4 linked regions of the Struthio camelus genome follow. The protein of the gene in region 1 interacts with the protein of each later gene in a biochemical or structural test. Links are inferred from orthologs where the notes say so. Each region holds a gene or a part of one and is shown in the gene's direction. Other genes may lie near its edges. The genes, in order: CREBBP, NFE2L2, TDG and NUP98.

What was found.
Region 2: the proteins of CREBBP (region 1) and NFE2L2 form a complex in vitro, tested with the Homo sapiens proteins (2 studies listed by BioGRID, with this or other methods). The link is inferred for Struthio camelus from reciprocal best matches to the Homo sapiens genes CREBBP and NFE2L2.
Region 3: the proteins of CREBBP (region 1) and TDG form a complex in vitro, tested with the Homo sapiens proteins (2 studies listed by BioGRID, with this or other methods). The link is inferred for Struthio camelus from reciprocal best matches to the Homo sapiens genes CREBBP and TDG.
Region 4: the proteins of CREBBP (region 1) and NUP98 form a complex in vitro, tested with the Homo sapiens proteins (2 studies listed by BioGRID). The link is inferred for Struthio camelus from reciprocal best matches to the Homo sapiens genes CREBBP and NUP98.

The regions. Positions count from the first base shown.
Region 1 is NC_090956.1:18,495,544-18,503,569, forward strand, and holds the start of CREBBP (CREB-binding protein), read left to right. Parts: upstream 1-4,836; 5' UTR 4,837-4,977; coding exon 4,978-5,062; intron 5,063-8,026. UniProt on the Homo sapiens protein: Acetylates histones, giving a specific tag for transcriptional activation. Mediates acetylation of histone H3 at 'Lys-18' and 'Lys-27' (H3K18ac and H3K27ac, respectively).
Region 2 is NC_090947.1:20,389,267-20,396,450, forward strand, and holds the start of NFE2L2 (nuclear factor erythroid 2-related factor 2), read left to right. Parts: upstream 1-4,137; 5' UTR 4,138-5,203; coding exon 5,204-5,293; intron 5,294-7,184.
Region 3 is NC_090942.1:62,730,280-62,737,704, reverse strand, and holds the start of TDG (G/T mismatch-specific thymine DNA glycosylase), read left to right. Parts: upstream 1-4,410; 5' UTR 4,411-4,548; coding exon 4,549-4,571; intron 4,572-4,830; exon of another isoform or gene 4,831-5,670; intron 5,671-6,743; coding exon 6,744-6,892; intron 6,893-7,425. UniProt on the Homo sapiens protein: DNA glycosylase that plays a key role in active DNA demethylation: specifically recognizes and binds 5-formylcytosine (5fC) and 5-carboxylcytosine (5caC) in the context of CpG sites and mediates their excision through base-excision repair (BER) to install an unmethylated cytosine.
Region 4 is NC_090942.1:224,223,990-224,231,928, reverse strand, and holds the start of NUP98 (nuclear pore complex protein Nup98-Nup96), read left to right. Parts: upstream 1-4,819; 5' UTR 4,820-4,848; intron 4,849-4,985; exon of another isoform or gene 4,986-5,154; intron 5,155-6,256; exon of another isoform or gene 6,257-6,316; intron 6,317-6,821; exon of another isoform or gene 6,822-6,978; intron 6,979-7,125; exon of another isoform or gene 7,126-7,265; intron 7,266-7,939. Other genes in the region: PGAP2 (post-GPI attachment to proteins factor 2), read right to left, coding at 192-298, 2,586-2,838, 4,655-4,819. UniProt on the Homo sapiens protein: Plays a role in the nuclear pore complex (NPC) assembly and/or maintenance. NUP98 and NUP96 are involved in the bidirectional transport across the NPC. May anchor NUP153 and TPR to the NPC.

The DNA.
Region 1 (8,026 bases):
TGATGGATTTGATTAGGATGACAATTGAAGACTACATGTTTTTCCTGAACTGTTATTCTCACTTCTGTGAGATAACCTTACTTGTTAAATGGAGGATTTCTGGGCATCAGAGTTATACTTGTAGAAAGGATGGTCATGATAGACAGTGGGCAGGGGTTTAGCAGCTCACAGAAACGTCCATCTTTGCATAGGTAGCACCTAGTCCCCACTAGACCCTATTCAACAGGGTCTTAAAATAATAAATGGTCTTGAAATAATAATTACTCACTGAAAAGGAAAGTGGAATCAAGCTCATGCTTGACAGCATTAAATTACAAGGATGGCACCTACAAAATACAGCCAGCCACTTGCAGATATTTTGTTCTGCAGAAAATCAAGCGATAGGCTGCTTGGGATGTTAGGCGCTGTAGCCCAAGGAACTACGGGTTTGCAAAAGTGCACAGACACAAAGCTAAACACAAAACAGCAGCATGACTGTGGTCCCAGGGGTTACTACCACTTCCTGAACACAAGAAGAATTCACACATACATTGAAAATCAGAAGCCAGAAACAACAGTTATGTCACATAAAGTTGCTCCACAGTCCCATGAGTGCAGGGTGTGTCTAACCAGACATACTTGGAAGAAGAATAGGCAGCACCTTCTCCAGCAACCAGGAGGAGAGAAGATAACGGACACCAGGCTTGTCTTTTTGCCTGGGACAGCTTAATTTCGCAGCAAAACCAGCAGGTTAGGCAACCAAACTCTGGGACATAACGTTGCCAGGAAAAATGGCAGTTCCCAGTGAGAACTGTTCTGATGATGCCATGGTGACCTGCAAGTTACAGTGCAGAGCTCCTCAGAAGTTGTTCAAACACTGTTAATTGTTTGGCTGTGAGGATCTGAGGTCGCACGCTACAGAAATGATACTTCCATGCTTTGGCTGGGGAAGGAAGATAGGCTCTTGGGAGCTGTATCTTTAAGAAGCTTAATTCTGGAGACAGGGAGTCTGGAAATGGGCTGCAGCAGTGCAGGTTTTATTATGCAATTTCTCTTGGACGTAATATAACCCCCGAATAAAGGGGTTATCCATTAAGCACCTGCATTCACAGTGACTCCTGAGCACCACAGATAAAGTCCCCAGGAATCCATGCACGTGCTTAAATTGTCAGCTCGGGGGAGAGGGGGAGCTGTGCTTTTATGCACAAGGTACGGTGGGGGCCAGGACTGGGAATCCGGGGCACAAGTTTGCAGGACTGGGGTTCATCTGCTTGCTGTGTAATATCTCCCAGACAGTCTCCTTCCTTCTCACAAAATCATCCTATTCCAGTTGTAGCTCACTGTGCTTGGCATTACGGTGAGGCCACCTGAGTCTTGCAGGACTGACACAAACAAAGGGCTATGGTATCCTGAGCACTGCAGTACTATTAAGCCTTTTGGGCAAGTAAGGGTCAAGGTCTTCCCCCCGCTCCTGCCAATATCCCCATGCTGTTCTGATCCCATGGCAGGGGGATGACTAGGGCCATCCTAAGGGGACATCATGCCATGGAGAAGCTGCAATACGCAGTAGCATTAGGATTTCCTCTTCCTCTCCTGCTGCCCTGGTGTGCAGGGTTCCTTCCCTCCAAACCACCTCCTTCCTCTCCCCCTCTGGTTTCCGGGACTCGCAGCTCCCCTCTGATTTTACCTACGTGGCAAGTCTCATTTGGCCTGGCACTTTGCTGTAAAGATAGAAGAGCTCTTCCAGCTAGAGGGAGAGGAAGAGTGGCCTACTTCCATCTGCTCCCCATCCCCATTCCCAACACTGAGCATGCAGCATTGTTCTGGCAGGGCAGAGGCACACCAGGGCCAGGCAGGGCCAAGCAGGCTGGTACACAAGCTACCGTGACAGGTTCAGTGGCGGTGTCATGGTCCTCTTGCTTGCTAGTTGTGTGATCAGAACTGCAATACTGGTGGAACTTCAGCATATGGTCTATCAAACATCTTCCTGGAGCTAAGTGGTAGCTGTGGGACCACTTAGGTTCTGTTCCTGGCAGGAGATCCCCATCCTGACTCCATGCCAGAGCTCTAGTGTCATCGCAGCAGCACAGAAGGGGGTCATAAGGGAAGCGAAAGGCTACGGGCATCTGCTGATGCCAGCCACTCCAGCAAATCCTTTATTTTCAAGACCATACACGATGTAACGGGCAAGGTAAGAGCATAAAGTTATCCAAAAGCTACGGTTCAAAACTCGCTGACTGACCTTCTTGAAAAATGCAAGTAGCAGGTAGCAAAGGGCACTGCTGTCCTCTGTTGTGGCTGACAGACGAGCTGACCTGATTTCCGTTTCTCCACGTGCAGCAGAAACACATCTTCCCTCAGCCTAAACTGGGGCAAACACCTTGTATTACAATGAGAAGCTGTTGCAGATCCTCACTTCTGTGTTTTAGATGCCCTACCCATGTGAGAGAAACAGTGCCCCTCTATCATTGCATTGCCCTCATTTTTAAAATACACATTTTACTGCTCCCAGTCTTGAAACATCTCAAGCAGTAGATAAGACCTGAAGCCAAGGGGTTAGTGGCCTGTCACACTACTGCAGAGAAGGCTCATAAACATCTGTAGCAATGGTGTTTAAGCAGCTGGAGCCTCACCTAACCGATATGGACTTCCCACCCAAATGAGCTCCAGCTGCAGGTACCCGTTCAGAACTGGGACTCGTACCTGGAGCTGAAGCCCTGCCTCACACTGGACTACCCTAAAACGTACAAGAACTCTCTGCTTTTTAAGGAGACGTCCGAAAGGCAGACATAACCAGAGAGCCCCCGCACTTGTTTAAGAAATGAGTAATAGACTGATAGAAACAGAGCTGGTTACTGCCAGGCCTCTACAAGAGCAGGCGCCATGTAAATAAATATAGAATTTGCAAGTAAACGTAACGAAATGCATGTAAATATAGAAGTAAATGTAATGAGTATGAGGTAGCAGTAAACAAAAGACAAGGCTTTCTGTTTGCAAAAGAAGGTGTCATTATAGATCTCCTTTCAAAAAATAAAAGATTGCTGTTTAATCCATCTCAGCTTATGGACTTTATGCACACACCGCAGGATCGCCTCAGCTCCTTTCTCCCGCCTGTCCTCCAGTTAGGACTGCTCTTAAGGGATATGTCGACATACAGCAATAAGCGATGAAAACAGCCCTGAGCAACTAGTTTGGGTACGAGACGCTTTGCTGCTATGGCACGTCGCCTGGGCTTATAGAACGACCTTCTTCTCAGGTTAGGAACCAGTACGGAAACCAACTGAAGTACACGAGCTCCAGCCTTACAAACCTGTTTCAGCCAGGGAGGTTTGTCTAGTCAGAGCGGAGGCACGGCTGGAAGCAAGCGGTCGGAGCGGGTGCCCGGCGCCCCGAGCCCACCGGCCGTTAGGTTGGGTCCTGGTGCCTGAGCTGAGCTAGCAGCGACCGGGTCCGGCCGTGGGCGTCCCCGTGGGCCGGCGCGCGGCCCCTGCCCTCGCGTACGGCTGCGGGGCGGTGGCGGACGCCCTCAGCAGCAGCGAGGGGCCTAAGGGCGCGCGCAGCGGGGGGAAGCCCTTCGGGCGGGCTGCGAGGCAGCTCGGGGGCTCGGCGGGGATAACCGGGCAGGCGTTTCGGCAGGGCGCGCGGCCCCGAGCCACGCGGGCCGGGGCGGGCTGAGAGGCGGCAGGCGCGGGCAGAGCCAGGAGCAGGGGGCGAAGGCAGGAGCCCGCTGGCAGCGAGGCCACACGCGACAGGAGCGGGCGGAGGGCGTCTGGGCGCTCAGCGAGCCAGCGCGGGGGGCGACGGGCAGCCAGGGGCAGGGGGGACAGGCCGGCATCGCCTGAAGGCCCCTCTCGTCCCCGTCCCCGCCTGAACCCAGCGCTGGCCGCCTGGGCAAGGGGGCCCGGGCCTCAGCCGCGGCCGAGGGGCAGCTGCGGGGCGCTGAGAGGCGACAGCGACGGGGGGGGGCGGGAGGACGGGGAGGGGGGCGGGGGCCCCGCCGGGCCTCGCGCGGGCCGTTCCCCCCCCCACCCCCCAACCCTGGGCAACGCGCCGCGGAGCAACTGAGGACGAGCTCGGCTCTTTCCGGCGCCGCTCGCGCCTTTCCGGCGGCGGCGGGGGCGGGGGGCGGGGCCCGTGCGCGGTGACGCAGGGCGCAGGCCCCGCCCCGGTCCCGCCCCCATGGTCTCTGGAAAAGAGAAGAGAAAAAAAAACTTTTTTTTTTAATTGAGGAATCAACAGCCGCCATCTTGTCGCGGAGCCGGAGCGCGGCGCGAGCGGAGCGGGGCCGGGCCGGGCCGGGCCGGGGCAGCGGGGCCGCCCGCCGGGGCACGGGCAGCCGCGCGGAGCGCCGCCGACGGGCACAGGGGCTCGGGGCAGCGGGGCAGCGCCGGCCGGGGCCAGCCGGGCGCCGCCGCCGGGACCGGGACCGGGAGCCGCGGCGGCCGCCGCCGCGCCGCCCTCATTGTTTTGGGGCTTTATTTTTTCGGCCCCCGTTGGCCGCGGCTCGCCGCGGGCGGGCGGCGGGGGTGGGGGCGGCGGGCGGGGGCGGCAGCGGGGCCGCGGCGAGCCCCCCGCTCGCAGGGGAGGGGACGGGGCGAGGAGGAGCGGGTGGGGGGGCGCTATGCTCCCCGAGTGACTGACTGAGCCGCCATCCGGGCACCTCCTCGGCGGCGGCGGCGGCAGCGGCAGCGGCGGCAGGGCGGGGGAGCGGCCGGGAGGAGCGAGGCCGGCAGGGAGGGGGCGCTGGGCTCTCCCCACCCCGCCCCGAGCCCTCCTCCCTGCGGCCTGCTGCGGCGGCGGCCCGGCCCGGGCATGGGGGAGCGGGGGCCGCCGCCGGCCGGGCACTGAGCGGCGCTGTTGCTCGGCCGCGGCTCCCGTGCGGAGCGGAGCGGAGCGGGGCGCCTCTCCTCCTCTCCTCTCCGGCGGCGGCGGCGGCTGCCCGCCGATCCCGGGAGCGCGGCGGGCCCCGGCGGGGCTGCCACGGCCGAGCCGGCTACCATGGCGGAGAACTTACTCGACGGGCCGCCCAACCCCAAGCGAGCCAAGCTCAACTCGCCGGGCTTCTCCGCCAGCGACAGCACAGGTGAGGGCCGCGGGGCGGCGCGGGGGCGGCCGGGCGGAGGGACGGAGGCGGCGGCCGGGCCCGGCCATCCGGCGGCGGCCCATCAGCGGGCCGGGCCGCTTACCCGGGGCGGGGGGGGGGGGGGGGAGCGGCCTCCCCGCGGCTTCACCGAGCGGCGGGGGTGGGACGCGGCCTGGCGGGGAGGCGCGGCCGGGGCGGGCGCCCCGCAGCCGTCTGCCGGCGCGGCCGGGCCTCCCGCGGCCGAAGTTACCGGGCGGGAGCCGCGCGGTTGTTCCCGTCCCGGCCGCGCGGCTATAAATAGCGGCGGCCTGGCCGCGGCGCTCGGGGAGCCGGGCCGGGCCGGCGGCGGGGCCGGGCGGAGGGAGCCGCCTGGGTGCGCGGCCCGCGCTGCCTCCGCGGGGCGGGGCGGGGCGGGCGGCGGCGGCGGTGGGGGGGGTCGGTGCTCCTGGAAAGCGGCGGAGCGAGGGCTGCCGAGAGGCTGCTCCGGCTGCGCGCCGGGTTGCGCGGCCGCCGGTGGGGGCCCAGCCCGCGCCCAGCGTTTTTGTGTCGAAAAATTCGCAGCGCTGAAGTTGTGGGGTTTCTTCCGTGACGACACGGCCGGCGGGCTCGGGGCGGCTGCGGCTTGGCCGGGTGTCGTGCAGTCTTCGGTGCGCGCCTCTCTCTTTCTCTCCTTTTTTTATTTTTTTTTTTTTTAAATCGTCGTGGGGGGTGTGGATAATAAAATGCATCAAAACGATCGTTTCCAGTAATCGCCTGCCCGTTGGAAATACGCACGTGTGCAGAAACGCAGGCGTGCGTGCACTTACTTCTGTAAGTGTCCCGAGTGTTCAACACGGGGGCCGCATAGGAACAAGTGATATGTTTGACGGGTCTTTCGGTTCTCGGAGATTAATGAATCTCGTTTAAGGGACAGTGATAAGTTAATCACGCTATGCCTGCTATGTTTCTATAGACTGAAAAAATTATTACCGTAATGGAGCTGATAAACTCTGTGGGTTTTTTTTTTTTAAGTTTGCTCAGTCTGCGTTTGGCAGTAGTTTTATAGATAGGTCTGTGGGTTTGGGTTTTTTTTTTTTTTTTAATGGAATCTTTTTCTTCCCAAACTGCAAAGAAATGAAACATACCAAAAAGAAGCAATATTGAGACTAAGAATGGGTAGAGAATACCTGGGTGAGGTCTTGTGACTGAACTACTTTAATCCCTTTTTGTGGAAGTGACTGAATATCATAGTGAAGGCTGATGCAGAAGGTGCTGTGAAATGCACCGCAGTAACTCAGAAAAACACAGTTTTTCTTTAATTGCCCAAATAGACACGTTAGAGGCTACTGGTAGCCAGGAAAGGATCTTTGAAGCAGGTTTTTCTCTCTCTTTTATTTCCCCCCCCTCCCCGTTGCCTTGGTCTGTTCTGGAACGCTTCAGTCATAATTACGTCCTGTTCAGCAAGTTCTAATGCGTCTTGGTGAGCTCTGTGGAGCACTAGAAATGTAAACTTGAGTATCTGCATAAAGTTTTGCGCAGCTGAGAGGACCTTTGGTCACCAAGGACAGAAAACCTCAGGTTGTGTTTTTGACAAATAGGAGTATTTCGGTTGTGTTCTGTTGTGATCCTAGTGTTCTTCGGGGAGGGGAAGCATCTCTTTGAGGGTGCAAGCGATGTTTGTGTGCTTAAAAGTGCTTTTCTCAATTTGCTTTCTTTTTCTTTTTTTTTTCTTTTTTAAGATTTGTTGCCAGCAGCTAATACTACTTGTTGAAAGATTGCTGAACTCTTCTATGTGTTGTAGTAGGCAATACAAATAGTTTGAGTAGTGATTTCTATCAAATCCCTGGTCCTGAACCTAAAGCAGGCTGCTCTCTTGCACTGAGGCTTAAATAAAAAAGTCGTTGCAACATGGAAGGCTCTTTATTTATTTTAAATCAGAGAGATTTGGGTAGATAGTTTTGAGATTCGTGCCCTTACTTAACAAGCTGTAAGTTGTGTCCTGGATAACTGAATTGTAATTGCAGTCATAAACCCCAGCTGTTTGATGCCGCGGCTTGCGTGATTGGGACATGCTTTAAAAGACATCGTGTTAGGCCCAGTTGTGTAGTTTTGTTGCTGAATAACGAGGCATCAATCCTGCCAATGCTTAGAAATGAGTATAGTGGTGTGCTGGTGAAGGGTCTGGTGGCAGGCCTGAATTTTCAGCAGAATGCAGCTGCTCGCTCTTGTTTATATTTCACTTGATGCTTTGATGCGGTGATCTTGAGCAATTCCTTTTGTCAGGGTAAATGTTAGTTCCCTTTAATCTTTCTGGTAAAAATAGCTTCTTAGCCTACTGTAGCTAAGTTTGTGCAATTTAAACTGGCTTGCTTACGTTCTGAAAATATGACCTTTCCTGTTAAATAGCTAAATCAAATCTCTGATCTAAGAGAAGGGAGTAGAGAAAAGGATAGCAGAAACGTATACTATGTATATCATAAGGTGTCGTAACAGTTAGCACCAGGGCAACTCTGAAATCTGCTTCTGTCAATGAAGTATGCTGATGAAGACCCATGGCTACCGGCTCCGCTGGCCGTTGCCGTTCAGTATTCAACAAGCTGGCTAATATGATAAGAATATTCACGGGCGAGATTTTCCCGTATGTAGCCAGGTAGATTAGCCCTTTTGTCTAATGGCTACTTTATTAGATACCCACTAGTTTTCTTCACTAAGCATTTGTACCTCGTTTAAATCTTATGAGGCGTTCTCATCTGGGTTGCTTTAGAATAAACCAGAGACTAATATGAAAAGTAGAATTATAGTAACTTCAGTTATTGCAGAGTATTATTTTAACATTGAGCGTCGTGATTACTTTGTATATCCTGCCAGTTCACGGTATCCTGCCAAACGAGCAACGCCAGCAAAGTTCTTGAGCTGGTCCTGCTTTGAGCTCTGAGCACAGATTGTGAAAGATGTTTTTGGATCAAGCAGCAGCAAAGCTCGCGT
Region 2 (7,184 bases), on another chromosome or scaffold:
TGCAGAGGTCATCCAAGGTTTGTCAGTGAGAGTGTTCCACCATAGCTTATTACACTAACGGCTGTCTTCACCGATGTTGCAGAAGTAGTGACTGGGGCACTTATACAAATGAAGATATTGTAGTCATGAGATGTCCTTGGAGCAAGTGTATTGTAGAGCCTCGGGTGATCTTCTGTGAACTATTTGAAATGAGGTGTGTGGATATATTTCTTAAAAATGTTTCATAACATTGAGTTATAGTTGCACTTATTACTTTTTCTAGTGTAGAGAGGCATTAACCAGGACTGTATGTCAGCTGAGGAGTTTTTGGAAGATTATTCCACTGATATTTGTAAAATAAGTAAAAATAAAAACCCAGCTTTTGAAATGAATAGGATTAAGAAATTAAGGATGGAAACCAGAAGTATTTTAATAGCAAAACTAGTACTATTAAAATAGTATAATATATAAAACAGAGCTGACATCTGAAACTAAGTCATACTAACTTCTGACAGCTGGTTTTCCAAATTGTTTAAGCTGAATTCTTGGCTGTAGAAATACGTATCATGTTGAGGTGTGTCATACTTTTGTAGGCTCTAGCACAGAGAATTCCTGTACAGTGGCTTTTAATATTGTGATTTTTAATTCAGTTTGGATATATGAACTGGAATCTTATAGAACTGTTGTGTCAGTTTTTCAGCTAGTATAAATTGTTGTGACTCGGTGGAATTCTGTAGTTCTGCTGAACATTCTCCAGCTGGAGCTGTGGTCCTTTATCATCTGCCACCTCAGGAATCTAGTCTGCGCAAACCACTCTCGGGAATCCTTGCTCATCTGATAACCAGTGTGGACATATCTCATCATGTCTCAGTTTCTTCTGTTGGCAAAATGAAGAATGGCACTCACTTAAATAATGAAACTATAATGGTGATCTAACAAATCACTGAAGTATTTTAGATTATCCTGAAAATGTCTGTGTTACTAAGATCAGAGACATAAAATTATTTTAAATGCAAAGTGGAATAAACCTGAGGATGAGTATATTTAATAAATCATGTGTGTATATGTGGCATATATGATGAACAAGGTCTTATAAAATGCAAATAGTAATGACAGAATGAACACTTAATATTTGACTGAATAGTGATTTACCCTAACAAGATATCTGTGTCTCATTATGTGAATTACTGTGCTATAGAGAAATTTTGGAGTTTTGTGATTTTTTTACTGACAGCTTGCTTCAGTCTGATTTTCCAGTTGTCAGAGACAGAAAACTGTTCAGCCAGGATCCAAACCTGAAATTCTTTGAATTCTGTATTTACTGTAGATTTTAAGCGGTCATCTACAGATTAATTTTATTCCTTTTGCTTAACAAATTGATTCTAATTCTGTCTGGAAAGCAATTAAATTAATATTGCCTTCTACCAGAAAAATCAGCAGTAAATGCTGATATTAGAAACAGTCTGCCAAATAAATTTATTTTATCGAATTAGGGGATTCAGCACACAAACTTTAATTTGGCAGCAGATATTCAGGACAGTTACACTTACTTTCTATTTCATACATCAGCAAATTGCTGTCCTTCAGCTGCTGATAGATACGCCTGCAGTGTGCTGGGATGTTTCACCCTGCCTTTAGAGATTAGACACTTTCTTCAGAGGCAGCAAGGTAAGTCTGTTTCTTCTCAACCCCTTCTGCTCTTGAAATGGGATCTTTGTAAAGGATTTTCTTTTCACTTTGTTATGCCACTTAGGGTAACTTTTAAAAAAATACCTATGTCTTTCTCAAACGGCAGCTAGTAAAGCTCTCCTCAAAACCCAGCTGTAAAAGTCGTCATACAGAAACTTAGAGGAAAAGGGGTAAGCTACTTCCTTGAATCCCTAGATATAAGGAAGAAGGTGTTTTTTTCTGCAAAGGAGGCAAAAAAGAAGGGACAAACTGAATGAATTAAAAACTTTGAACATTGTTGCTAGGCTTATTCTACCATTAGAAAGAGTCTACTTTGGCTTACCAACACCACCTCTTTCCTTCCTGAACTGGGAATTTCGTGATGGACGAGAAGAGGAACAGAGAAAAGGTATCTGGCTCACATAACAAGAAGCATTAAAGAATTCAAAGGGCAATTAATCAAACGTTCTTCACCAAAATTTATTGTGATGATATGGGTGCAGGAGAAACAATGTAGACTGGAGTAAGAAGCCAGCTAAGCTGAGAAGATAAAAACAATTCCTATTTTCAAATATTGATTGCTTTTATGCCAGGATAGAAGTTGATTAGCTGTGCTGTTTCACTGAATACAGAATAATTAAAAGTCTGAAGGAAAAAGGAAGTTTAGCTCTTTCCCTAATTCTCTTGGCAACCTGTATTTTTTTTTTTATCACAGTCCAACATTCTCCTTTCAGAAGCGACTGTGGAATGCCTTATCAAACTGCAGCTGGTGGTCATGCGAGATAAAATTTGCAGCTCTAGAAAATATCTGAAATGCTCTGAATTGCCCTCTTAAACTGTTTGTATGTAGCACTCAACCAGCACGTGTCTAAGGTTTGAACTTAACTAAGTTAACATGTATTGTGTAAATACATTGCTTTATAAACGTCCAAGAGATCAGTTCATTTTTCAGATAACAGACCAAGTCATTAACTAAAAATAAATGTTTAACAGACTGCACTGAGTTGCTTTGGATTTAAAGTTTCTTGATTTTCTGTAATATACTCACAAACTGGATAGGCTTCTCTTCTTCCTCTCCTCCTCTACCCCCAAATATTGAAGGTTTGTTAAGCATCTTGACATGCACGGAAAATTTTTACTGTTTATGGATGGAAGAGGTATATTGACATGTTTATTATTCATAGAAAACAGTCTTGTTTTGGTTATCATAGCTGCTGGTAGAGTGTGTGAGGGGACACACATCGGGAATAGGCTTCTACCTTGATTTCCTAGGTACATCTGTCCGTTTAATCAGTAGGCTGAAAGAGGCAGGCCTGTCATAACTGACTTCTTTTATGGTAGTGGAAAAGCCACATAGCTGACTCCAGGAGGATCCAGGAGGCAGGGAGACTCCTATCTACGCGAGAGGCAGACAAGGAGGCCACAAGTAAGGTGGTAGGAAGTAGAGGCTGTTGATTTGTGTGGAAAGAGTGAGTTATTGATGGTTGAGTTTAGGGGGGTTTGTTGTTCTCTGGAGGGTTTCAAGCATTATTGCATTTATATAATTTGGTAAGAAATATGAAACAGTTTACTTTGGTTCATGTCTTGGAATATGAGTTAGCCCCTTTTGCTTTCGATTTATAAATTGAATAATGAGCAGGACTTCAAAAAGTAAGGGTTGGGTTGCACAACACAGAAACAAAGCTTTGCTTTCTAATAGCGTTACTCAGTTCCTAACTGGGTTTACCTTTTCTTTATGCAAATGCTGTCATCGTAGACAAAAATGATAAATTGGTGCTTGGACATCTGCTGTGCCTTTCTTGACCTTTCTGGTTTAATGGTTTTAACCATTCAGGGCCTTTAAGTATAAGAGCTTTCTAAAAATCTAGTGAGGAAGGGTTGATAATTTTTAACAGGATTGTTCTTTACTGAGAGATATGTGAACTTCAGTGTTTAAGAAAATGAGCAAAGAAAATCTGACCTTTCCTCATTATAGAGAAAAACAATTCTCATCATGTATTTTGGTATGGCTGAAGGAAGCTGGGAGGCTGAGCAAACTCATTTTGTACAAAGTTAGTAAGGATTTCTATGCTGTTTCTTGTAAATTTAGGAAGAACATTTTTGATTACTTCGATAGTGCACAGTTGAACAATATAGTTATTTAATGATGCTTATCTGAAACTGAAGCATGTCACTAATGAAAGCTGTGCATAGTAAATTGAAGCATGTCACTAGTGAAGGCTGTGCATAAATAAACCATTTAATCATGAATTACTTGTTTTGAAAGATGAACTGTCACCATAGCAAAAATTTGCCACACAGGGAACCCTGTTTCCCAAATCTCTTAAGGTCCTGTAGCGTCAAATGTGAGCAATCGAATAGCAATGTATTTTCGGCTTTTTTCCTGTTTTTTATTCCTCCACAGAAATGGAACAACCTGTCTAAGTGTATTTGAAGTTGAACACTTTATTTAAAAAAAAAAAAAAAAGGAAAATGAGCTGTGCTGAGCTTTTCCCTTCATCATATGCTTGAGGGCAATCAGAAATACATAGTTGCCACTTATTTCTCTGATATAGTATTACATTGAACACTACTTATTTCTGTATTCAAAACTGTGCACTGGCACTGAATTCCCATCATTCATATGTATAAAAGTAATGTATGTGAAGAGTATGCATTAGCTGCAAGACTGATCCACAAAGGAATTAAAGCACCTGTGCCCCACAGATTGCAGCGGGGGGTAGGCTCTAAATACCCTGCTGGATCTGGGCTGGGGTACACAGAGCATGTCACAACTGACCACTGGAGCAAACTGTAATCCCTGCAAAGTTACTATGTAGTTACTGTATGTGTTACTGTGTGCTATGTGCAGTAACTATGTGCGTTACTGATTGGCTCATTTTCTAGGACTGTACTGTAAAAGTAAAGAGGCAGAAGAAAAAGAGGAGGAAAATGTAGAGCTTTTGCCTGAGAAGACTATGTGGAGTGGATGTATCAGATATCAGTGCCATTGGCAAATTCTGTTGTCCAAATTGTATTTGCGTTTGTAGAAAACATTACAGTGCTGCATTTAAAAATAACATAACTCCTAAAGCAGTGAATTTACTTCAAAGTTACTAATCCCAATAGAACGGCAACATTTCTCACTTGTGTCCATGTCCGTGAATTGCAGGCTGTTTTGAGGACCAGGATGACAGTCCAGTTTGTCTCAGAAATAAAAAGGGTATTGGGGTTTATGACTTATGTCAGTTTTCTCTGTCTGCTTTTTCTGTTGCCCAGTTGGAGTGCCTAAAAGTGTGCATACCTCATTAATGTTCTCTTAGTGGAGTATTTTTAATATAAAACAAACTCTGCTCTCTTTTTCCTTTAAACTCCTTTCAATTATTAATCTTTTTATTCTTAAGCTTTTATTCTTAAGATAATACTTCTAGGCTCGTGAGGTGTTTGTGTGGTGAGCTCTCTTCATTTAAAAGCATGCTTGCTCTTTTCTTTGTCAGCTCAGTTTGGAAGTATGGAAGAATGTCCTTGATTCAGCCTTATGAAGTAAATATGTATGTTACTGAATGAGGGCTGATAGATGTGTGCTGGCATACAGTTAGTAAACCTCAACGCTCTTCTAACCCACACTGATATTCCAGTTGCTTGCCCACGACCAACAGCAATAAAAGTAAGTTGCTTGTGAGATCAGTGAAGTGAAACTTGGTGAGAAATGCTTCTTGTAATACTAGAACACGCTATTTCCGCACCCAGGCAGTAGTTTAGCTGTAATAACCCATCTGGTGCCTGTCCCCGCGACCTGCCCAGCCAGCAGCAAAATGGCAGCTAGAAATAGGGGCTTTGTAGTAAGAGATCCCGGTGCAGTGACAATGTGCAGTTCAGCTAAGATTCTAAATAATCTTTGAGAACATTTTGATCTAAGAACAAATGCACTATGTTTTCATGTTTGGCTTGAAATATGCCTTTCCAAAAAGTGGGTAATCCTAGTGACATTAAAACAGTGGCCATGAAGTTATAACCTGAGGTTAATATAACCTAATAAACAGATTATTTGCGATTTTATTAGATTCCATTCTCTGTTTCTGTGTTCATCTTTTTTACTTCCTGATGTGTTTCGCTGGCTGTAAGAGCATGCTATTGTTTGACTGGATCATGTTTCCCAGATGACTGAACCATTATTATAAACAAATCCTCTCCTAGATAAACTAATGGGTAGCCTGTGGCAATGTCCACACACAGTACATGCCTGGCAGGGTACGGCAGGATAGCTTGAAGATAATCATTTAACAGGTAATTGTTTTCCAAATACCATAAGTTCAATATATAAAATGGACTGGGATGCAAAGGCTTATGTGTTCCTTTGGTTAAAAGGTCAGTGGTATTTTTAGATGCTGGTTAAATTCAAGTACGTATTTTTTGTATTATTTGTTTACAGTAAAAAATCCTGGCCCTTCATGTAAAAATAACCAAATTCAATAAATGCCAGTTTTGTTATGGTGCAGTTTTGAGTTTAACTTGGGAGAAAAAACAAATAAAGCTATTAAGACCAACTTTTCCTGAAATGAAGCAGACTTCTGTCTGAGATGGCTGCTATTTGAATACCTTTTAAAATGGAGTTACACGATGTGTCCAGTACGTGGTGGTTGTACAGCAGCTAGAAAGTAAGCCACAGTAGAATCACTCAGTTTATTTGCTGGGGCAGCAGGGCAGATTTTTGTTGATGCATCAAGCATGTACAAACAAATATGCAGGCTAATGCGCTCTTTTCTAAAACAATCTCATCTTTTTGCCAGAGCCTCCCAATTTCATTATGCAACTTGTGTATTAACTTTGCGCACATAAGTGCGACTTAATCGTTTTGTAATCCTACTGATGAAAGATACAGTAAAGAAGTAGCAAATAAATATCTCTGTTAAGCTGAAAGAGGGATTCAGAATGTGAGCAGAAGTTTTTATCTAAACCTAAAAGATGTATTTAACTCAAAGAGGAGTGGACTCAATACGTTGATGTGTTCAGTTCTAATCAAGTGGTAGTATTACTTCACTAATCTATCTCATCACGAATGTTGAGACTAGATAAGGTTCACAACCAGAACTGGGATTGGAACCACGCATTTTTATACTAGCCAAGTAAACTGTGGAAAAGTAAAATTAGATTTTTCAAACAACGTGGTTTTTTGTTTTGTTTTGTTTTTTTTTAAGATGTTGAGGGAGACTCAATCTCCATAGCATTCAGCCCCTGGAAGGCACATCCGCTATATTAAAATTGTGTTATTTTAAAGCTACCTGCTAAAATACACATTGATTAAACAATTTAGGACAACCTGGCTACTTTTGGAGCGTATGAAATAGAATGCCAAACGATCTTCTGCAGAGAGATACTGAGCAAGAATGCCCTGATCTAGCTGCTGTTTCAGAAATGGCCAGTCAGCTAAAGGCAGACCGAATGTGGTGGAAAAAGGAAATATGTATATATTTCTGGCTCTAGAGATTAATGAGCCAGAGAGGAGAATGTCACTCCTGCTGTTTCCCCCCAGGCTCAAAGGGAGTGCTGTGAGACTC
Region 3 (7,425 bases), on another chromosome or scaffold:
TGTTTTTTCCCCCTCTGGTTTTTTGTTCTCACTGCAGTAGTCCTAGGTATTTATAACAAACAGCTCTTTCTGTGTAAACTGAGTGGTCTAACTCAGGGTAGTTCAGTAGCTAGCAATGCATCAGCTTTAATAGCGGTCCTTTGTTAGTGTTTCAGGTAACATAGGAGTACCACCTCAAAGTATGGTTCTCTTAGCAAAACAGTGCAGCTTTGTCTCTTGTGCTCTGTAGCAATCAATTGCTCCTAAGATTTTGATTTAATACTTCTAAAATACAGCTTGTAATGAATCTGGAGAGTTAGTTTGGAATGTAAAGAAAACATCCCTTACTGGGTTAAATATACATTCAGAGCCCTTCTGAAGAAGGGTGTACGTTTATTACATGTCTATATTATACCTCTGCCTGACCAGCTTGAGTAGTATATGTGATTTGCATCTACTGTATGTTTAAGAGCTTTTTAAAACAGCTAACAACTACAGAAGGAATATTATTGGAAGTATAGGGTTGTTTGCTACAGAACTCTTAAATCTGTTAATTATTTGTCTGCTTTAAGCAACCTTTGCTCTGTTCCACAGCTGAAGTTCTCATGCTTTGGTTGGTTTCAGGATGCTGTCTGATTCACTTTTGGAACTAATAAAAAGCATGCTTTGAGGGTCATTGTTCATGCTTCTTCATCTTCCTCAATTGAGGGTATTGTATGCAATATGGTGGTGTGCTAGCTGCCCTCCCTGCTGTGGAGTGACAAGTGTTTGCTATAAATAAGCACAAACATGCAGTTGTAAGCTTTTTGGCCAGCTTGATGGAAAAGCATATCAATGCTGGAAGAGCTATCCTCTGCTCTTAGGGGTGTGGGGGTGGGGGGAACGTTTTGGGGTTTTTTTGTCTAGTGGTGTGGTTATTCTGGTTTTGAGGAAACTGCCTTTTTTGTTTACGTTGTCTTGCCAGTATTGCTGTTCCTAGAGGGGTGCTCATCAGTTGTTCCCTTAGTGCTAGTGGAGGCTGGGGTAAAACAAGTGTTCCTTGTTGCTCAGTTTCCATTAGCAGCAGGATGCTTTTGGGGGTTCTGATGAAAGTGATGGTAAGCTTCTCTATGGTACCTTCTAGCATGAAAGATTTAGTCTCTACCTCAGATGGAAAGGCAACAGTGGAAGGACAAAGGTGATACAGCATGAGTAACTCGAAGGACTGGGGCCTCTTGGCTCTAGAGGGACAATTCAAAAACCACTGTTCCTGCTTCAGCTACAACTCAAGTGGGAAGCTACAGCCTTGAACAGAAGCAAAACTGCTGTGAACATCTTGACTCTTCAGGGAACTTTATTGATTCTCATGCAAAGGTCTCATGCTGAGGTGCAAGGTTTTCAGTGTTGTCTTTGGGTGTAGTGGGGGGGGGGGGGAAGTGTTTCCACTGGAACTGGGCCTAATAACATCTGTGTCCCTCTGGATTTAAGTTTTCATTTGGTGTACTTTTTGTATGACTGTCACTTACAAAGGTGTCTTCCATATAGGAAGTCTCTGGCCTAATTAGGCTGCAGTATCTGCTTAGTGTCAACGTCCATAGGGGCACATAGGAGCAGGAGAGAGCTCATCCTACTCCCCTGCCCCCTATACTATCTTTTCCAGCATGTTTGTAATGGGTCAATAGCCTCAAAAGCTATGAGGTTTGGACACAAATGCAGTACAGCTGTACATCACTTAAGTGTAATCTGTGTATACTTACTTGGTCTGTTTTAACTAACATGACTACGGTTTCGGGTCCTTCAATCTTAAGAGTGGACCAAAACTTCCTCTTGGAATTACAGACAGCTCATAACACCACAGCAGTAGGAAGGGTCCAATGCAAGTGCTGTAATGAGGAATCTTATTGCATATACAAATAACTTACTATAGTAATTATATGTTAGGTCCAATAAAATTGATTTCTCACCCTTTTTAAAATTTGAACTCCTAACAGGCAAGTAGGGTTCTGCTACAGAAAAACAGGTAAGCTGCTTAAGGCTGATGAGGGTCCATAAAAGTTCAACTCTTCAATGTGCTAATCAGCTTAAACCTTTCAAATTCTATCAGCCTTGGCCAACATAATCTTAATCTTTTATCCTTCTGAAGGATATTTATGTTGCAATCAAAGTCACAAGTGTACACAGCTTGCTGGACTTTGAACAATATTCTTAATGCATTTATTCTTATGCTACCTGTAACTACTTCCAAGAAACAGAAAAACATTATTAAGAGTACAGTATTTCACAGGCACATTTTTAATCAAGTTTGCAAAGCTCCAGTTGACACAGTTGAACAATGTTAACAGTTTGTCTTCATAACTTAAGTAAATTGTGATCACTGCTGTGACGTTTGACCTTGGCTTGTTCTTTCTTTTAGACCCAGCAGTTCTGTTCTCAGCTCTCCAGGCTTAGGAGGTACTTCAGGTATACTCTGTTTAAAAACAGAAATGTCAGTGCTTTGGCAGAAAAAAAAATAAACAGTAAATTTATGTACCCTGTAAGAAACAGTAGTATATCCACATTGTGATTGTATTTTTGCTCTTTCTCAAAGAGTATAATAATCTTTCTGACTATTTTAAAGTAGGAAAAAGTAATCTGAAAAAAATGAGAAGGGAAGAAATAAAAATAACTTGATTAAAGGGACAGTTTCCTCTAATCTGAAAAAGGAGGCTCTTTGGAAGTGACCAGTATAGTTTTAAAACATCAGCTGAAGTTTCCATACATATTATCTCTCTTCGTGACCAAAATAAAAAAAGCCTCACCACTTCTATCTTTTGGTTTTACAAATGAAACACTGAAGCTAGGGATGAAATTGTATATTTACAAACACACACATCTATGTATGAACAATCAGCCTATTACCCTGTAGTGAAGTACTTAAGTTGAAACTGTTAAAAATGCATAAAATCTTTAATGTACCTATACAGCAATGCAAAAAAAAAATCAATTTTTGAGATGACTGTTCAAGCGTAGTGATTTTTTAGCTAATTCCTAATTTAAATAACAGTGTTTTTAAATGACAGCAACAATAAAAAGTATACAGGAGGAGGAGAGCAGGCTTACAAGTGAGAAGGATGCCAGGAGACCATATCAACCATTACTGTACTGGGTGGGTGGTCATGTTTGGACTTTGGTTCTCCATGATCAGAATTTTGACTGTGACTCCTAATATATTAAACCTTTAGGCATCTTGATTCTCATTAGGAGAAAAAAAATTAATTTTAATATAGCCGCCTCTTGCCACTTTTACATGCTCCTTTCAAAAAAACTTCCCACAATCAAAATTTATTTTGAAGAATTTTAGGTAACTATGATTGTATTTTGTATCTTGTTCCTAATTAGAAGAATGCTCCCATGAGAAGACACCTGTATGCTTCCTGTTCTGATGCTCGTATTAGTGTGTTTTCTTTTTTTTTGGCAGCAGCACCACGGGACTTTTGCCCCACGCATCTTTCCAAACAAAATTGCCACAGACGATTCTTCACCTCGCATGCACGCTCTTAAGCCTCTCCGTAAAAGCGATCACAAATGCGGACTCTGTGAGCACTTACAAGGCCAGGTCTGTAATATCTGTGCACGACCTCGGCGCCCGCAAACATGGCCAGCATACTCGCCCCGACCGTTTTCAGGTAGGTGGGCCAAGGCACGCCCGCCGGCATGGCCGGGCCGCAGGGGGAACCGGGAAGGAGCAACCAGGCGATCGTCGCCTCGCTCCGGCGGGGCTTCCGCGGCGCAAGGACGGCGGCCACGGCCCTCGCGTACAAAATAACCGCCGGGGCAGAGCCGGGCCGAGGCTGCGGGCGGGCGCCGTCACCGCCGCCGAGGCCCTAACGGCAACTCCGCGGCGGCCGTTGGCGTCGCCGCACGGCGTGACGCACCGGATGTGCGTCATCCCCCGCGCGCTCGCAGCCGTTGGCCGGCGGCGGGGTCAAGCCGGCTGGGGGCGGGGGGGAGGCGGGAGGTGCCGCCGCTGCCCTGGGCTTGGCTGGACGCGTTTTCACTCCTACCCCGCGGCAGGCATCCGGCCTCCGCCCGCGCCCCCCTCCCCCCCCCCGCCTTACGGTGCCGAGCCAGCAGAGCTCTGTGGTGCAGGCGCGGAGACGCGGCGGGGCCGCGGGGTGGGGGGTCGCTACACAGTACCTCTCCGCGGTGCGGACGATGCCGGTTAAGCCATGTCCCTGAAACCCTCCGAGGAGCGTGTGGCAGGGGAGGCGGGCCTGGGACGCGCCGGCAACGGCTCGGTCGCACCCGCCTTGTCCCGAGCGCCCGGTGGGGGGGGGGAGGGCCAGTGGCGGCAGCACGACACCGTCTCCCGCCGGCACCGCCCCGCGCGCCCCTCCCCCACCGCCTCACGGGCCCGGCTCGCTCCCCATTGGCCGCCGCCGCTCACGTGACGCGCGGCTGCCCGGCAGGTCTGTTGGGGAAGCGAAGGTGCGGGGGGAGGGGGTCGGCAAGCAGTGGCGGGGGGGGGGGCGGCCAGGCCGGGTCGCGTCGCGCCGCGCCGCTCGTCCTGACAATAGCCCGCTCCGCTCCGGGGAGGCTCCAGGCTTGGGCATGGAGGCCGAGGAGCTGAGCAGGTACCGGCCGGGGACGGGAGCCGCGTTCAGGCCTGGCGCTGGGTCGCCTTTCGTCTCCGTTCTGCCCTCCGTTAACGGCCGGGGGGGGAGCTGGGGCCGGGTTCTGATGCCCTCCCCTCCCCCCCCATCTCTAGGAGGGAGGGGGAGGTGCGGCCGCGCGGGCCGGGCTGACGTGTGCGCGGGCGCGGAGGGGGCCGCGGGCGGGGGGGAGGGGAGAGGGGAAGGCTTGGGCACCGCGTAGATGCAGAAAATGCACGTTGTATTAAGAGTGCGTAGAGCAACCTGTGGGCTTGGAGACTGCGGTGTGCGGGGGGGGGGGGGGCAGGGGGTCTCGGCGCGGATGAGCGTCCGTTTCTGTGGGGGTTGAGCGGCTCTGGGGCTCATTGTGTGTAAAAGAGAGGGCTGCGCGCGTAGAGGTGGAATTTGCAAGTGACTTAATATATATATTTTTTTCTTCTGGGGGGATTTTTTCTTTTTATTCCTTTCTAGCTTGCACTGAATTGAAGGGGTTTCAATCCGTGTTTTTTTTCTTTGTTGAACTGACAATATTTATTTGAACGTTCTTTTTTGCCTGTAACACGTTCCATAACATATCCCGTTCATCTGTAACAAAACGTCGTGGTTCTGAACCTTTACAAGAAAAACGATTCTCCAAAAGAAGTTAAAAACAAAAAGATGTATACGAGCGTTAGGGGTGAGGGTGAAGGCTCTCTTTCGTCCCATCACTAAGCGGTTAGAGGACTCGTCTGTGACATGGTGCCAAATTTTCTTCTGTTTAAAGGGAGTTTGATCGGTACCTTATAAGAGATTATCTTGTTAGCGACTCTTTTTGTGCTAGACACTTTTAAGTCTCTCTCAGACGTTTTCCTGTTCTGTATAATTAAGCGTTTAGCAGACTAGGAACTGGATTCTTTGTCTCAGCTGTGTTCCCTAACACGTATCTGACAATCAGTTTTGCTGCCTGGTTCAGTAGTTGCATGAGTATTTTATATTAAATGGAACAACGCTAGCTGGAGAGACTGGGGTGTTTACTATACTCCGAAAACATCCCATGGCTTCGTTGGACTGCTCCCCAGAAATCTGGGAGACCTAAGTTCAGGTTCGTTCTCCTTGATTCAGGGCAGGTATTTGGTTCAAGGTTAGTGGACTGATCGCAAGACTGTGGGCTGTTCTGGGATAAATCTGATTTACAGTAGGATTCTTAAATATTCATTGAATAACAGAGAATGATGCCTCCCCATCACAAGGGTGGTAAGTGTGTGCCTTTGAGGTACCCATATATAGCTAAAATTATTCGGTATGTTTATGAGTAGCTTTGAGATGATGAACATATTCTTTGCAGTTTTACTGTTCGTGAAAACTCTTTTATGCATCTGAATAGCAGTGGAAATCTATGGACAAAAAGCAGGCTATATAGGTAGAGGGAATGGGAATACGAAGCACAAGTTTTTGTTGGTATGTATGGCCTGCACGTGTCTAATAGATATGTAGAGCAGAAGGGTTACGTAGGGCAAAACGTCTGTGTGCATGGAAGGAGGCTGAATCTGTGCATAAATGCTTTTCTATAGAATAAGCACAGTACTTGTGTTGAGCTGCAGAGCGAAGTAACTGGACAGCATCTACTGCACTGTTTCTTAAAGCTCTTTAGTAATCTGCGCAGTAACTACTGCTACGTGTGTTTGTAAGGTTTTGTACCCCATTCTGCACATCCGTTCTGTGTCATCAGATAAAGTAACTGCTGTGACAGTAAGAAAATTTAAAAGTTGGGAAACCTTTTAAGTCCAAAGAGTTTTAACTCAGTTGTGTTGTACTTGGTCACTGCATTTGATAGACAGCTTGTGCTGTTAATATATTCTACAAAGTGTTTTTCCAGAGGAATGGAAGCTCTAGGCTGTGCTTACAGTGTTGCAATTCTTTAACCTTTTGTTACTTAAAAGAGGGTTGGGCTATTCCTGTTGAGTTGAACATCATCCCACACCCAAGAAACAGTCTGACTACTTAGTGGATTTGGATAATTTACTGCCTTGTTTTGCTAACAGACTATACTGGAGAGTGTACTTGCAGTACATGCCAGCCTTGACAGAGATTGGTGATTACAGACTACTTGGTCCATCACTGAATTTCTAAATTGTTGATGAATTGTCTTTTTTTTTTTTTTCCTGCCTTTCTAAGATATTACTCGCATCTTCAGCAAATTCAAGCCTTTTATACGTTTCCGTTCCATCCAATGATGACTGCAGTGCCCAACATGGAAGCCATGACTGAGCAGCCCACTCTAGAGGACGTTCCAGAGCCAAACTTGGCTCAGGAACCTACTAAAGGTAGGTAGCTTGATCGGACTATATTAACCGAGCTAAAAAAAATTTCTTGATTTAAATATATATATACACGTACCTGTGTGTACGTATGTGTATACGTATATTTGTTTTAATAAACTGCTTCTTTAGACCTATTGGATTTCCTTTCCTTGGTGCTCTTTGAGGAAGTATAGAGTATGTATACTTTCAGTATGTATTGAGAATTTAATTCAGTATGAGGATGTATTCTGTTTAGTAACACTTGTTACCAAGTAGTAGAGTTAAACCTGATTATAATATTCAAGTAGTCCAGTTTCGAAAAATTATCTTGTCCCAAGAACAGCGAATTTTTGTTTTAATAGGTAAAAGTATCATCTTTAGTTGGTTTCACGGCATTTAACATTAGGTTAGAGAGGGAAGGCTGTCTCTCTTTTTTTCTAGGCTGAGCTGAAAGTTGTTTTGTTTTGCTTTTTAATTGTGAAAGAAAAATACAGTGTAATATTGTTTATTTAAAGTATTTTTGTTAAAATGGTGTTTCTTTGGTGTGTTATAATAAT
Region 4 (7,939 bases), on another chromosome or scaffold:
TCAGTAAACGGGGTCAAATCATGAATTCTGCTGACCATAATTCCCTTGAGCCAGTTCCACCTGCTGGCGGATCTGATTCACCACCCGGCTGTGCTCGTTTCGGAGGCGCGGACAGGCAAAGCCCTTGCACCGCCAGCGGAGAGCCCGGCCCAGCCCAGCCCAGAGCGCAGAAGAAAGGAAAGGTGCTGTACCTCGGGACTTACTGTGTGTTTCTTAGTCATTCTCCACAGGACGCACGTCAGCAGCATGTGGCCCAAAGCCGACGTGATGAAGACGATGAAGGCGTTTTCGTGGATTGCTGAATCGACAAGACAAGAGGTTTGCGGTTAAAACCGGGCATGGAAACGAGCCAAGAGCCCAAGGGGAACAGGAGGGTCGCCGAGCGGCAGCCCGAGGACCCGAGGGCAGCGCGGCTCCACGCCGCCCGTCCCCAAGCCGAGACGGGGGGGAAGAGCTGTAACAGGAACGCTGCTCGCAGGCGCCTCGTGGCTCCTGGTGAAGCAGGGGCAGGAAAGGGATGTTGGCTTCTCCCGGGGCACGTTATGCCCGCCGAGAGTTATCCCAAAGGCACCTGGCCAAAGAAGCTCAATTGCTCGACAAGGCTGCAAACCTCCAGCACCCTAGAAAGGCAGCCAGCAGCATTGCTCTGGTCCTAGGGATGGGGAAACTGAGGCACAGAGGGTCGTTTGCAGAGTGAGTCAGTCCAGGAGCCAGATCGGGCCATCACCTGGCTTCCCGCGTCACCTACCTGCCACTTAACAACTGGGCCACCAGCCCCGTCATTAACGCTAAGGCTGCTTGTGCGTCGCTGAGCTTAAGTCGATTTGGGGTCAGGCTAGAAAGACAGCTGGCTGGAGCAGCCCTAAACCCGAGTAATCCCAGAGGCCCCAAAGCCACACTGGCTAGGCAAGGCCTAGGCAACTTCAGGTGAGTTATTTTTAAGTGAGTGCTTCCATTTCAGTAAAGAATTTCCCAGCTTCTTCCTCCAAGAACTGAATTCGCAAGTGGAAATAGCAACCAGGACACCCCACCGCAAGGAGCGACGCTTCCCTGCCTTCCCCTCCCTGTTTCAGGGGAGAGGATGCATCAGACCACAGCAAAGAAAGACCGCAGAGGCAGCTCTTATTGTGAAGACATGAGCAGTGTCCTGCCAGAGATGATTAAACTGAGCCCACCGTCATGTGAGGCTGCTGCTACGGTCTGAGACTTTCCCTAGGAACCTGAGATTAGTCTATAATAAGAAGAGCAGAGCAAACTGGGTTAGCCTTAGCTTTTAGCATAGGCTTTGCCCACCCCCTCGGCTGTGCTTCAGCCACCTCCGCCCAGGGCTCTGCACACGTCTGGCGGAGCTGTCATCAGTGCAACGAGCCCCAGGGCTCTGCAGGTAACCAGCCCGCCGGGGAGGAGCGCCGTGGCCCTTTGCAAGGCATATCCTCGAGGATGGCAATGCGCTCTGGGGCATCTGAACGGCGCATCCCGTCCTCTGCGCCGAGGCGGGATCCGCTCGACCCCGCGGCGTTTTCCCCGTGCTCCTGGAGGGCCCCAGTGACGGAGCCGTAGCCCGTCCCGGTAGTTTGCTGCTCCAAGCAATCGAAAGGCTTCCCGACACCCACCGCGTCTGCCTTCTGAGAATTGGTTTTTCCCGTCCGCTGTGGGTACAAACATACTCTGCCGAGTACGGGATCAGCTGCATTCCTGCACCCCAGCTCACCCCGCTCACCGCGGCGGGTAAGCGCTGCTCCCTCGCCTTCCCCAAACTAACGCTGCCGCGGCCTTTCCTTCTCGGGACTGCGCTTGGCTTCCTTCTGGTGGGGCTCTGCGGCTGCGTCCTTCGCGCGCAGCACCCAGAGCCGGGCAGCGTCACCCCAGCGGAGCGCGCTAACATCTGACACGCGACCGTCCCGCCAACAAGCCCCAGAACTGGGGTTGTTTCCTCTGCAAGAGCACCCCCTTGCTGGTGCGCCGGCTCGAGTCAGCCGTCGCGCGTCACCGCTCGCAGTGAAAGTCACTGCCGACGAGACCACGCGGGAGAAGGGCGTTTCCCAGCCCGTCTTGATCCTGTTTTGCATGCTGTGATTTAACCTCAAAAAATCTAACTTGTCCCGAGATCAACATAGGAAGTTTCACCCAGAAAATGTCATGCGAGGATATTTAACAGGCTGCCAGGACAGAGCGTAGGCTGGAAGCCAGTTCTGAGCCAAACCTCAGCTGATAGCAGGAACAGGCACTAATCTTCCTTTGTACACTCGACTGTGACAAGAAGCGTTAAGCATGGTCTCAGCACAGAAGCGGAAACCAAACCGTAAATTCTGATTTCAAGCTTGCTACAAAAATTCAGCCTGTGGTTTGGGCGAATTAACAGCAACCCAGCGTTTCAGGGAGAAAAGTTCCACCCGCACACTGTGGATATAATTTTGCCATATAAACATTACTTGAAGCAGAACTTTTTTATTTTAAACTATTTTCTTCTCCAAACGGACTACTTCCAAAACGTCCTCACGGAGCAGAACTCTGCGAAACCTCGGCAACCGCGAGCAAAGCCACCGGCAAGGCGGCCGGCGCAGAGCGCGGCAAGGGGCACCTACCATAGTTCTCCGACGAGGACACGTAGGTCAGGACGAGGAGAGCGAAGTTTTCGAGCAGGTTGAGCAGCAGGTTGAAGTGGCAGAGGCGCAGGTAGCGAGGGTGCGTGCAGCGGCAGCTCTGGTAGTGGTTCCAGTAGGCGATCGCCACCAGGAAGCGGGGCGCCGAGTGGAGGCCGATGCAGAGCCGCCAGACGTAGCGCTGAGGGGTCTCGCCCCCGATCGCGGCACTGATGGAGGGCAGGTAGTTGGGGACCTGGAGGGAAGACAGCAGCTGCTGGAGAGGCACAGGGAACGTGTGGCGGGCTCTCCGAGACGCTACAGCGATCGGCGAGGTAAGTTTTATTCCTGTGTCACAAGCCAGGGAATGCAACGGCGCAGCAGTCCTGCTTCAGCCTCAGGGTCCATCCAGCCCAGCACGCGGTCTCCAGCGCCGGCCAGGGTGCAGGATCCTTGGCCGGTCTCAGGGAGCAGCAGGGGCGGTTGGGAGAGAGAGGAGAGAAGGGTGCAGTGCATGGTTTTGGGAGCCCATCCCTAACAGGGAAAACTGATAGGAACAATGGGCAAAAGGCATGTTCAGGGAGGAACATAAAAGCAAGCAAAACATCAGTGATACAGCCCCAGAACAGACTCCCAGCCTCAAGGATTCAGAGCTCAGGGACTTCCCAAGCCGGCTGCGATGGCTACGTAGCAGGTAATCCACACCGGATTACTCTTCCGTGATCTCGTTCGGTCTGGCCGGCACCCAGGTAGAGCTGCGTACCCACAGTCTCCTGTGGATGGACAGTCCACAGATCCACTACCCTCTGCTTGAGGAGGAGCCGGGTCCCACGGGGTTGCTGCCAACCTGCCACCTCCATACGGCGTCCTCTAACTCTGACGCTGGCAGAGGGCGAACGGGATCCCTGTCTGTGCTCTGCACGCCAGCCATGGCTTTAGAGGTCTCTATCCTACCTCTCCCACCTCATCATCTCTTCCCATTTGACAATGAAGGATCCTTGCTTACTTCGTCATCCCCACGTGACGCCTCTGAGCATCCTCGCTGCTCTCCTCCGTACAGATCCCGTACTGCTGCTTGGGAGGAGGGGACAGACCTGCACGCGTTGTTCAAGACACGTCTCAGCCACGGGCCAACACCGGCATGAATGCCGCCCGCTCTGCTCTACTCCTTTCCTAACAACTCCTGGGCTTTGATTGACTTTTTCAACTACTCCTGAGCACCGAGTGGAAGTTTCACGAGAACATCTATCGCTCCCCCAGACCTCACTCCGGAGCGGCGATGGTCAGCGCAGAGCCCACCTCCACCTCATTGTAGGCAACCTCAGGAGTGCCTGTCCACATGCACATCACTTATTTCTCTGCATGGAACCGCACTGGCATTTTGCTGCTCGGTCGCCCAGCTGCGTCCCGCCCTGGACGCAGCCCCTGACAGCCTGCCTCACCCTTCCTGCACCAGCACCTTGCCATCGCCAGCAGTCTTCGTCACCCCACTGCGCACGGGCACAAGGAAGACCACAGACACCTGTAACACCCTGAGGTCACCTCCTCCTGCTGCTGTGAGAGCTGAGATTATCTACTCCTGCCTTTTCGCTAGGTGCTTGTGCAGGCACAGACTTCCACGCTTGTGCCGCGGCTGCTTGAAAGCCTTGGTGAGGAACCTGATCCGAACCCTTCTGGGAACCCAAGAGGTCCCTGTCAACCGGACCGCTCCCAGGCACGCGCTTGCGACTCCTCCAGTGCCTCCAAGAGGCAGGAACTCCTTTTGCCAAAGCTGGGTTAACTCTTCCATGAGACACCATCTTTATCTGCAGCTTCGCTAGTTCTGCTCTCCAGTCACCACCCGCCTGCTCAGCACAGACGTCGGCCAGGCCAGGCTGCGCTACCCTCCATCCCTTTTTAAAAGCGGGAACCTCAACCGCTAGTCACGCGGCATCAGCAGCACAATAACGGAGAGGAACGTATCCAAGGTCACGTATCCCGGCGGGGGGGAGAGCGCGGAGCAAGGCAGGATTCCCGCCGCGCCAGGCGCCCCCTTTGCAGACCTCTGCGTTTGGCCGGTGAGAGGCGCTTACCCCGCAGTGGGTGGCTGTCGTCTCCTGGAAATGGAACAGCAGAGACCAGATCACGCAGAAAAGGAAACCAAACAGCGGGCAGAACACGGTGCCAACAGCCAGCGTGGTGAAACGGAGCCGGAACAGGATCCCATCGCGGTCCAGGGGCAGCGGTACCTGTAACATGTCGACGGACCTGCAAAGAAGAAGCGGAGGTGGGAAGGGGACGGAGCAGCCCGTGGCGAAGTGCAGCCCTCCGCCCCCCCCCCCCAAAGGACGCGGCCCCTCTTTCGGGCTGCGGAGCCACCCCCCGGGGCTCCCGTCAAACCCTGGCAGGGGGGAAGCAGCTTACCAGCGAGGGTCGGAGGCCGGCGGCGGCGTGCCGGCCCCCCCGGCGGCGCTGAGCTCCTCGGCGCGGGGGCAGCGTCTGCCGCAAGGGCTGCGTCCGGCTCCGGCTCCGGGCCGTTACCTGCGCGGCGGCTCGGCCATCGCGGCCGCTCTAGGCATCGCGCTGGGGGGGGCTGCGGGCAAACGGGGGGGGGGGGGGGGGGGGGGCGACGTGAGAGCCTGGCCCGGCCCCCGCGCGGCCAAAGCCGAAAAGCGAATCAGCGCTGTGACCGTCCGAAGAGCTCAACACCCCCCACCCCACCCCGGCCCCCCGTGACCCCCCCTCTCGCTCCCAACATGACCCACCCCCAGCCCCCCCCAGCTCCATCCGTGACCCCCCCCGGCTCCCCACTCCCCCCGTCCCCCCCAGCTCCATCCGTGACCCCCCCCAGCTCCTCACTGCCCCCACGACTCCCTCAGCCCCCTGCTCCCCCCCCGGCCCCCTCACTCCCCCCGTCACCCACCCCCAGTCCCCCCCAGCTCCATCCGTGACCCCCCCCAGCTCCTCACTGCCCCCATGACTCCCTCAGCCCCCTGCTCCCCCCCCGGCCCCCTCACTCCCCCCGTCACCCACCCCCAGTCCCCCCCAGCTCCATCCGTGACCCCCCCCAGCTCCTCACTGCCCCCACGACTCCCCCAGCCCCCTGCTCCCCCCCCGGCCCCCTCACTCCCCCCGTCACCCACCCCCAGTCCCCCCCAGCTCCATCCGTGACCCTCCCCAGCTCCTCACTGCCCCCACGACTCCCTCAGCCCCCTGCTCCCCCCCCGGCCCCCTCACTCCCCCCGTCACCCACCCCCAGTCCCCCCCAGCTCCATCCGTGACCCCCCCCCAGCTCCTCACTGCCCCCACGACTCCCTCAGCCCCCTGCTCCCCCCCCCGGCCCCCTCACTCCCCCCGTCACCCACCCCCAGTCCCCCCCAGCTCCATCCGTGACCCCCCCGGCTCCCCACTCCCCCCACCTCCTCCCATGACCCCCCCAGGTCCTCACTGCCCCCACGACCCCCCCGGCTCCCCCCATCCCCTGTGACCCCCCCCAGCCGCCTGCCACCCCCCCGGCTCCCCACTCCCCCCGTGACCGCCCCCCGGCACCTCACTGCCCCTACGACCCTCCCACCCCCCCGCTCCCCGCCACCCCCCCGGCTCCTCACTCCCCCTTGCTCCCCCCGGCCCCCCGTGACCCCTCCAGCTCTCCGCTCCCCCCACGTCTCCCCCCCCCGTGACCCCCTCGCACCCACCGGCCCCACACGGCTCAGTCCCGCCGCCGCCGCCGCTCCTCCCCGTCCTCCCCTTCCTCCTCCCCCCGCCGCCCGCCTCTTCCTGCCCACCCTGGGCCAGGCCGCGCCCGCTCATCCCTCCTCTTCCTCCCGCCTCCGGCCCCACGCGGGGCGCGGCGGGGCCCAGCGCTCTCTGAGGCGGCCCCACGCGGGGCGCGGCGGGCCCGAGGCCGCTCCGGGGAGGCCCCACGCGGGGCGCGGCGGGCCCGAGGGCTCTCTGGGGCGGCCCCACGCGGGGCGCGGCAGGGCCAAGAGCTTGTGTGTCTCTTTGGTGCAGCCCCACAGGAGCGTACGGCGGCGCCGAAGGCTCTGGGTCAACATCGAGCGCCCCACGGGGACGCGCGTGGGGCTGGAATCGCCTTCGGCCCCGCGGGGCGCCTCCCCCCCCCCGGTGGAGCAAGTGCTTCCCCGCGGCGCCCCTTTAAGGCCCTCGGCCCCGCCCGCTGCGTCACAACATGGAGGCGGCCCGGCGCTGCCGGGTTGGCCAGGCCGGGGGAAGTCCCGCCCCCCAACGCCCCGGATGTAGGGTAGCCCAGTGGTGCGGCTGTTCTGGACCCTTCCTCAGTGGCCGCCCTTCCCCCTCCCGGGGCCCGGCCAATCGGCGCTCGGGTCGCCGCAGGACGCGGCGCGTGGCTGCAGCCAATCAGAGAGCAGCAGCCCCTTCGCTTCCCGTTCCCACCAGGGTGAGGTGGGAGGGGAGGGGAGCCGTCTCGCTTTCAAAGAGCGGCAGCCAATGAGCGGCGGGCGCGCGGGGGCGGGGCCGGCCAATAGGGTAGGCGGGAGCGGCGCGCGCGCCGCGGCGCAGGGGCGGCTGGGAGGCGCGCGGAGCGGAGTGTGACGCAGATTCCCTCCCCCTGTGAGGCGGCGGCGGCGGCGCGGGAGAGGCGAGGCGAGGCCCGGCCCGGTGCGGCCCGGCCTGGCGCGGCCCGGCGCTTCCCTTCCCCCGGCCCTTCGGCGACCCGCGCCCGCGGTGAGCGACGGGGACGGCCCCGGGCGGGCGGGGGGCGCCCCGCGGCCTTTGTTGGGCGGTGCCGGGAAAGGGGGGAGGGCCGGGCCGCGGCTCCACGCGCGGCCCCGGGGCCGGGCCGGGCCGGTGAGGAGGGGGGGAGGCCGCGCTGTTCCCCAGCCGCCTCCACCGCGAAGGGGCTGCGGGTGACCTTCGCTGCCGGTTCGGTTCCGCGCCCCCGGCGGTGCGGAGCGCCCCGGCCGGGCCGGCCCCCGCCGGGCCGTGGCGGTGTGGGAGTTTGTCGGGCTGGCTCCGTGGGGGGGGGGGGCGCGCGGGGTGAAGCCGAGCCCTCCGTCCCCACAACCGCTGCGCGTTTACACGTTACCTGTAAACTCGGCAGCGTAGGCGCTGCCCCGCTTTCAGGGGCTTAAAGCGGTGGGGGTCTGGGAGCAGCGCCACGGGTCTGTTAACGCGGTGTTTAAATTATGTTCAGGTATCTTGGTTCAGGCTCTGTTTGGGTGCGGTTTGAGGCTCGTGTTATGTTGCTGTAAAACTATGGTTAGAGCCCTCTTCTTCAGGTAAAGCAAGGGAATGGCTGCCGATCAGGTGAAGGTTGAGTAGGGTGCAGGACTTGATTTGTGTATCGAGAAGATGTTAGAGGAGCGTTTTGGAAAAAATCCCCTTTTACTAAGCCTGCT